Linked DNA regions of Oryzias latipes. The protein of the gene in region 1 binds, or shares a complex with, the protein of each later gene. Links are inferred from orthologs where the notes say so. Each region holds a gene or a part of one and is shown on either strand. Other genes may lie near its edges.

Region 1 (4,019 bases):
ACTGTTGGTGCCGTTTAAAGGATTGTGTTGAAATCCCATTAGATGCGCACAAACAAACAAAGTTCTTTCTAAATATTGTTTTATTTGTGTTATTCTTCACTTGTTTATGTTGTGAACCCAGACACAACGACGAGCCTGCATTAGGTTTTTTTAAATAAACATAAACCAGGGCCACTCTCCTGACAGGATGGGAATCCATATCCACCATTGCAAGGACACTAGCAAGGAACCAGACCGTTTCCATTTCATGCCCAAACTCGAGATTCACGCCGCTTCAACATTTTGCACCTAGCCTCATGTCGGTGGCGGACATGCGCTAGAAAACAGAAAAAGAGGAGGAAGCCCCTCCCTGCTTGTCAAGTGGGAACACCGAAATGCATACAGCATGTTCTTGAACACGCGTCAGAAGCCCAGTGTGTCTGTAGCTTCCGGCTTAATGAAACCCCACAGAGAGAGAATGTGGCCTGCAGGGGAAGAGGTCCACAGGGGATGGGTTCAAAGACAAACGCGAGGACAGAAACCCAGTAAGCAGCTCAACCCGCCTGAACTTTCCAGCCACCTTCATGGTTCTGTGTCACGTTTCTGTTTTGATGCTGAGCTTGGTTATCGTTATGATGTCTGCCACGACTGAAAACATCAGCTGGTCATGCCTGCAGAATCCAGGCAGGAAATTTTGTGTTTGCAGCTGCTGACAGTCTGCAGATGTCGTTGAGATGTAAAAAAAAAGGTTTGACTGACTTGGCTCTGCTGAATCATTTCAAAACTAAGGAGCTTCAAAAGTTGTTCGTAAGAATCATGACATCCACCCATTCAGATGCATACACAGGAACTCTATGATTAGATCAGCCTCCAACGCTGCCATGGGCCTTTGGACAGGTTTTTCTACATTTGGGTAACACAAAGTGCATTTGGAAAGACTTACCGGTAAACTGCATTTAGAAAACTCCTAAATGTAGTTTTACCCATTTGTTCATCTGAAGAGGTAATCATCACAGGCCATGTTAAGCAGAGCTCATTGTGACAAATATCTGAACAAGGATTAGCCGAAGACAAGATCGTGGCATAAATCATAAAGATCGTGGAATAAATCATAAAGTCCAGGTGAGGTGTTCAGTCCTGGTGAGCACTCACCTCTTTGGGGAGATGAAGGGGATACAGAGCAGAAGAACGAGGAAGACTTCCACATAAAGGAAGGTGGCCACCGCTGTCCACTGGAGGCTCATCCTGACTCCTGAGAAGAAGACAAGTGAGAGCGAGTGCTTTATCGAGTCCATGTTAAACACAAGTTCAAGAACGGAATACTCAACAGAGCAACAGCACACATTCAGAGCAGGAGGCATCTTGACTTTCTATGCACATCCAGACTAAAACTAAACTAAACTAAAACAACGGAAAACAAGAAGCATTTCTGTTCAATTTGAGCCTGATTCTGAAATCCATGTTTCACAATCAGCTTTCCTCCAGATGATGATTTCATCAGATTAGTCATCTGTTTTACACACACCAGAAGCTCACAGCTATATGCTTTATGGTGTTATCCATACTTGCCCTCCAGCATCTCCAGCTCTACATTCTAATCTCAGCATAACTACACTTTAGTCTTGATGAGCTGATATCTATGGTCTAAACTCCACTCAGAGGTCCCATTGACTCAGAGCAGTTATGTTTTCTCTTATCTCCTGACTCCCTTCTGCTCATCCTGATGTTTCCTCTATGAGCAGAAACATTTAGCTCAGATCTATAGGAGGAGAGACAGAGGAGCGACTCACCAAGATAAACAGCATACAGTGGTCGATGTGGAGACCAAAGCCTGAACTACAACAAAAATACACTGGACCTCACCACAGACCTGACCAGGCTGTCAAAATAAACTCCTTTCCTGTGGCAGCTCCACGGCCTGTGTGTTAGCATCAGGGAGGAGAAAGTTCCTGGAGTGTTCCACACCAACAGAACCTCACAGGAGTCCAGCTGGACAGAGACTGATCAGAAACTCGGCGTATTTTTGAGGAAACTCTTCTGAGATGGGGAGCCAGTTGGGGGGCTCTGGTGCTGAGGGGCGTGGCAGCTTCAGACAGCTGTGTCACGATGCAGCGATCAGTCGTGATTAAGACCAGCGCCTGACAGCAATCAGCCGATCTGAACCGGCGTCACTCAGCTGTGTCCTCTGACTTAGATTACTCTGTTAAGATTCATCTTGATCATCATTCGCTGTAAATTAAAATAGATGGTTTCTGCAAACCCCTAAAAGTCTGACTGAGGCCAATGACTGAAGACAATATTTTATTAAGTAGCGGTAGCCAACTTGTTAGCTGTTCTTTATTACACCGCAAAAATGCGCGTTAAACACAAGACGATTAGGGACCGTGTATTTGCTGGAATGCGTCTAACTTAATTTGATTTCTATATTTTAGTACATAAACTGGTTAACTGACCTTTATTTTTCGTTTAACCAAATTGGAAACCGTGGCTTTCTTTGAGATTAGAATGTTTCTTGTTTTTAAAAGACACTGACGCCGTCCACTCTCGGCAGAAGCCGTTTTATTGTCAAATCATAAGCGATGTTTTGAAATGCAGTCGGGCGGGCAGCTGCTAGCATGCTAGCCGCTGACGACAATGGTATGACTCCGCATTTTACCGAACAAGGTTGCCATCAGAAGGCTGACTAGACTTACCTCAAGTACACAGACCAAGAGAAAAATGCCTTCCTGCCCAAAGAGACGTAAAAAAGCTTGTAAATGCTGCTCTGCTAGCCTGTTGTGACAACTTCCGGTCCACTTCCGGCTCTTTAATGCCAGCTCATCGTCTAACGTGATTGGATGATTCAAATGTAGTAGGAGGAACTGCACTCTACAGTTGACGTGAGGACATTGACAATAAAATATAATAAATATATAGTCATATGTGATGGAGTCAATGCGTCAGATTTAATAAAAGTAATTAATACAATTATTTTGTTTAATGGTATTGTAGCGACCTGGGGGTCAGTCCCGCCTTCAGCCCCTAAGGCTCATGGGAAGTGGGGAGCTTAGGGTGAAACATTGAGTCAGAGGGCTGGAAGCTGAAGTGACCCTCCATGCTGTTTGGGCTGTATGTGTGCTGGAATAAACAGGCTTGTTGCTTAAAAGCTAATATTGCCTCTCTCTACGTTTCTTGCAACCTGAGACTGTCCGGGGTCGTGCGGTGTATGGGGCACGGACAGCTCTCCATTAAAACCTCTTCATGAGCAGTTGGCTTTCGCTACCCCACTAAAGTGACGGTCCGGCCGGATCGTTACAATGGTGTCAGAAGAGGGATTGCTTAGCCGCTGCTACAACATGGAGAGCATCTCCATGGAGGGTGAGACGGAGCAGCTGTTCCTGGTGGCAGTCTGGGACAAGGGAGGAGTAAGGGCGATGACACCACCCTGATGGATCGAGCACCCACCGTCATCCGCAGCCTGGCCCTGCCCGGCACCAACGTTAGAACATCCGGACCAGACTGTGATGACGGTGCGCAGCCCAGCTGAACCTTCACAACACAATTAGCAAAACACAGGAACACACTGGCTGGAGACTCCTTCGCACAATCCTGGGTTTCGACCGCCACCGTGTACAGTCCTCCTCTTAACTGGCTGGGTTAGCACATCTGCAACTGACACAGTTCCATGCCAGTATGTGCCCAGCCAGGAGAACCAGTCCCCGCCTCCGTGGAAGCACCACCATCAGGGTGCACGTCACCATGGGGGAGTAGACTCTCTCCAAGTGAAGAGCTGCACACCAGCAGCAGAAGGTCCCCAGGCATCCCAGGCGATCGTCGTCGTCACTACGGCGGCGAGACTCCAGCTGCTGTAGGGTCTGCTTCTTCAAACCCTCCTCCCCAAAGCGAAGCTCTGCTGTCCGCGCTGACAGGTCTCGCAGCTCCGCAGGTGGGAGGTCCAGCAGTGTAGGGCCCTCTAACGCCAGGTCTGAGTGTGTGAGAAGTCCCTTTCGGTGTCTAGCCCTCATTGCCGGTCGCCAGGTTGACCTGAGCCAGGTGTGGTT
Region 2 (4,248 bases), on another chromosome or scaffold:
TTCTACAGGAGAAAAATAAAAGCGTTTCTGCCATGAATGCTGGAAAAAAATCCTCACAAGAACCAGACCATTTATATACCATCTGCCTTAGTGGATATTTATTTAATCTTTTCTTTTAATTCAGTTGACTTATTCCCTGAGAGGATTCAGGCCAAACCATTGACTGTATATGAGAACTGGACAGAGTGACCCCTCCCCCCTCGCATTCCAAACAGGAAGTCCCAAAAAGTCAAAGTCCCATAGATTTCTAGGGAGGAATCAACAGCTAATAGTCATTCTATTTGTCACAATCACCATCCTATCTCTGATATCCTAATCTGAGTGTTTTTTAAGATTTTTTCGTAGTGAAATTATTCAAGTTCTGAACCAACCAGATGTCTGCCGCCTCGTATTGAATCATTGATTCTCCTGAGCCCGTATTTTAAGTGGTAGGGGTGTGACTTTCCAATAAGATCACTTCTGACTGGAAGACTGGTTGCCATAAAAACAATGATTCAGACCGGCTCAGACCAATCAGGGCTTACTCATGATTTCTGGTTTCAACATGGCGGCATTCATATTGCTAAAAAAAAAAACCAGAGGACTGAATTGACTTCATATGGTTGGAGCTGGACGTGAACCTCTTTTTATGGATGATGTCACACTCAGTCAAGTTCTCATGTACACTCATCAGCCAATTTATTAGGCCGGGTTGGAGCTTAATCTATTGGGTTGAGATTTGGTGACTGTGGAGACGATTCGGGTCCAATGAACTCATTGTCGTGTTCAAGAAACCAGTCTGACATGAAACCAGCTTTATGACATGACGCCTCATCCTGCTGGAAGTAGCCATCAGAAGATGGTACACTGTGGTCACAAAGGGATGGACACGGTCAACAGCAATACTCAGGTAGGCTGTGGCGTTGTAACACAATAACTCACAACACAACACTATAACTCACAACACAATACGTCACAATATTTTAACTCAAATAGGAAGTGAGTTAAAATGTTGTGAGTTATTGTTTAGTGTTGTGACGAATTGTAGTATGTTATTTTGTGTTGTGTTGCGAAATCTAAAGTGTTGTGTTGTGGCCCTTCTGGGCCACCGTACATATTATTTCATTATTACCTCTAGTGCTTGAATTTAGTATTTAAATATACATTTGGGTTGAGATTTCATCAATGTATGTGTACAGTAAAAAAAAAGTGCAATGAGATTTAAAATTCAGATTTCTATCTGCCCCTTAAAATGAATATTCATCTTTGCCTCTCATATAACGATAAAAATTGTGCTTTTTCATAAAAAAAACTTTTTTTATTCATTTTTTATCAATTAAAATGTTTTCTAAATAATGCATGGTCACATTATTATTTGGAGTTTTTCTTTAAAAAAAAAGACAAAAAAGGAACATATTCAGTCTGGGCTCAAAGTGTGCCAAGAAAAATATCCCCCACACCATGATACCACCACCACCAGCCTGAACCGTTGATACAAGGCAAGTTGGATTTATGCCTGCATGTTGTTGATGCCAAGTTCTGACCCTACTATCCAAATGTGGCAACATTCAGAAGGTAGCAGTTTCTGAAATAAACATAATAATAATCATAATCTGACACAAACAACCGATGCCATGTTCAAAGACCCTTCAATCATCTTTCTTCCTCATTCTGATGTTTGAACTGCAGCAGATCATCTTAACCATGTCTACATCCCTATAATGCACAGAGTTGCTCCCGTGTGATTGGCTGTTTAGACATTTGTATTAACGAGCCGTTGGGCAGGTGTGCCTAATGAAGTACCCCGTGAGTGTAGAGTCAATGGGCTAAAATCAGTGAAGAACTTTCCGGTCCTTTCAGGGAACATCCCTTATCTCTGGAAATAAGAAACTTGTTTTTTTTGTAATAGAGAGTAAAGTAAAGCTGTTTTCCACTCTTTTATTGATGGGGGTTGTTTAATATAGAAATATTTCATAATTCTCCAACAAAAAACAAAAAAATCTAAATGTCAACAAAGTATGACTAGGAGTTTATAAGTGAAATTAATTACTTTAAATGGCAAATAATACAGACTTTTAAGCATAACCAAGAGCAAAAACTATTCTTGGCAGTTGAAGTAAAAGATAAGTCGTCCATTTTCCATCTATCTATCCATCTATCAATGGAAATGTACATGTGATAAATAACGGCGTGCTGCCTTCACTTACCCTCCAACAACGCGATTCCCTTCTGGATGTCCCCCGAGTATTTACTCCTGATCAAGCACCAGGCATACTCAAACTTCGTGTCCTTGGAGACGGCCCCCTTGTCGAGCTCACTGTTGTATTTCTTCTCAAATTTCTGTCAAACACAAATATTTAACATGAATGTGAACGACAACGACCCGAATATGAAACCTAGACCCTCAGGTTTCCATTTTTAAGCTTAAATTACCACTTTTGTCTCGTGACAAAATCAAAAATCAATATAAACCAAACCAACCATTTATGAAAATGTATTTTTCAGCCGTCAGAAAAACGGTTGAGATGACAGTTTTGATCCCAAACGTAAATGTTAGCATTAGCTGCCTACGTGACGAAACAGAGGTTGACGTCGGAACGTTGTATTTGGCTAAAGTACTAGTTTCTTTTAACCAATGTTGGGATTGTCGGTGTCAGTAAAGTTAACCACACTTCTAGGCGTCACAGTTGGAAAGTAAATATGTGTGACAATGTACAAACTTACCAAAAGGTCCTCAGGAGCTACTATATCACTCAAAACAGCCTCCATGTTTCCGGAAAACAACGAAAAGGGCCGCCCACTTTGAATCACGTGACACGAGATTACGTCACCGGTACCAAAATACTTCACCATGCTGATATAATTTTATTTTTTCTGACTGACCAAACACATAAGGCCAAACTTCAATAGCAAAAAAGGCAAATAATAATAACAATAATTTGGAAAATATAAACATTTCCGGCAACTACTACAAAATACAAAAGCGTGTTACGCAATATCCTCAAACGACAATTGTTATGTAATAACACAGAGAGAATTTCAATTCAAATATTTACAGAAATAAAACTATTATTATTATATAACATCTAAAAATAAAAATAGGCTTTTACAGTGGTGGAATTTTATGTTAATTGTTTAGTTTGGCTCATTCCCAGAAAAGTATTATGCAGTAATTAAATTCACAGTAATTTCTAGCAAAGATTTATTTTTTATTTTCAATTTCTTTATTTTATTTTTTATTATTTTAAATTCATTGGAATCAAAATGAGTACCATAATATAAAATACATATGTGTAAAGTGGTGCAAATGTTATATGAAATAAAAATGTTAAACACATTGACTGTATCCTGGAACTTGACTGTGTTCAAAGGAAGTGCGACATCACCCACAGAAAATGACTTTACTTCTGGTTCCAACATAATGAAGTCAATTCAGTCGCCATCATTTTTCAATATGGAAGTTGCCATGGAGGAACTAGACGACATCCACTCTCAGGACGACCTGCTGCATCAGAATGGCAAAGAAGTGTCATTGAGGGACTTTGAACGTGGCATTGGTTGTTGGTGTCAGACGGGCTCGTCTGAGTATTTCAGAAACTGCTGGTCTACTAGGATTTTCACCCACAACTATATCTATGATGTACAGAGAATGGTCTGAAAAAGAGAAACTATCCAGTGAGCGGCAGTTTTGTGGGTGGAAATACCTTGTTGATGCCTTGCTGAATGCACAACATGTCCAACCTTGAGGCAGATAGGCTACAGCAGCAGAAGACCACACCGGGGGCCACTCCTGTCTGCTAAGAACAGGAACCAGAGGCCACAATTCACACAGATTCACCAAAACTGGACAATAGACGATTGGAAAAATATTGTCTGGTCTGATGAGTTTCCATTTCTGCTGCAACATTTAGATAGATGGATAGATATTCCTTTATTAGTCCCACGATGGGGAAATTTCCTTATTGCGGCAGCAGTACAGGAACAGAGAGCAGTATATAAAAGAAAAAGACTATGGAATAAGTATGAACACCTATATACACAATATACACACATACCTTCCAAAATATTGCACAGGATGATCATATGATCGGTTATTGCACAGGGTAAGATAGGATCGAGTCGATGATGTTGTTTGACGTGGTTCACTGGGAGCAGCTAAGGTTGTAAAGTCTGATGGCAGAAGGTAGAAACGACCTGCGGTGTCGCTCCTTCAGACACTTAGGATGTCTCAGTCTGACGCTGAAGGAGCTGCACAGTGAGGACACAGAC

Evidence for each region. Proteins that work in one complex are often made in the same cells at the same time.
Region 2: the proteins of bcap31 (region 1) and fis1 are in contact, whole or in part, in a crystal structure (PDB 8XWX), measured with the Homo sapiens proteins. The link is inferred for Oryzias latipes from reciprocal best matches to the Homo sapiens genes BCAP31 and FIS1. Residues at the interface, in NP_001132913.1 of Homo sapiens: Asp224, Leu227, Glu228, Ala231, Lys232, Ala235; in NP_057152.2 of Homo sapiens: Arg52, Val56, Glu59, Glu60, Pro63, Lys64, Lys89.

Annotation. Positions count from the first base shown.
Region 1 is NC_019865.2:31,915,096-31,919,114, forward strand, and holds the start of bcap31 (B-cell receptor-associated protein 31), read right to left. Parts: upstream 2,804-4,019; 5' UTR 2,673-2,803; intron 1,232-2,672; 5' UTR 1,224-1,231; coding exon 1,132-1,223; intron 1-1,131. UniProt on the Homo sapiens protein: Functions as a chaperone protein. Is one of the most abundant endoplasmic reticulum (ER) proteins.
Region 2 is NC_019876.2:17,585,873-17,590,120, forward strand, and holds the start of fis1 (mitochondrial fission 1 protein), read right to left. Parts: upstream 2,811-4,248; 5' UTR 2,749-2,810; coding exon 2,704-2,748; intron 2,652-2,703; exon of another isoform or gene 2,464-2,651; coding exon of another isoform or gene 2,461-2,463; intron 2,320-2,460; coding exon 2,187-2,319; intron 3-2,186; coding exon 1-2. UniProt on the Homo sapiens protein: Involved in the fragmentation of the mitochondrial network and its perinuclear clustering. Plays a minor role in the recruitment and association of the fission mediator dynamin-related protein 1 (DNM1L) to the mitochondrial surface and mitochondrial fission.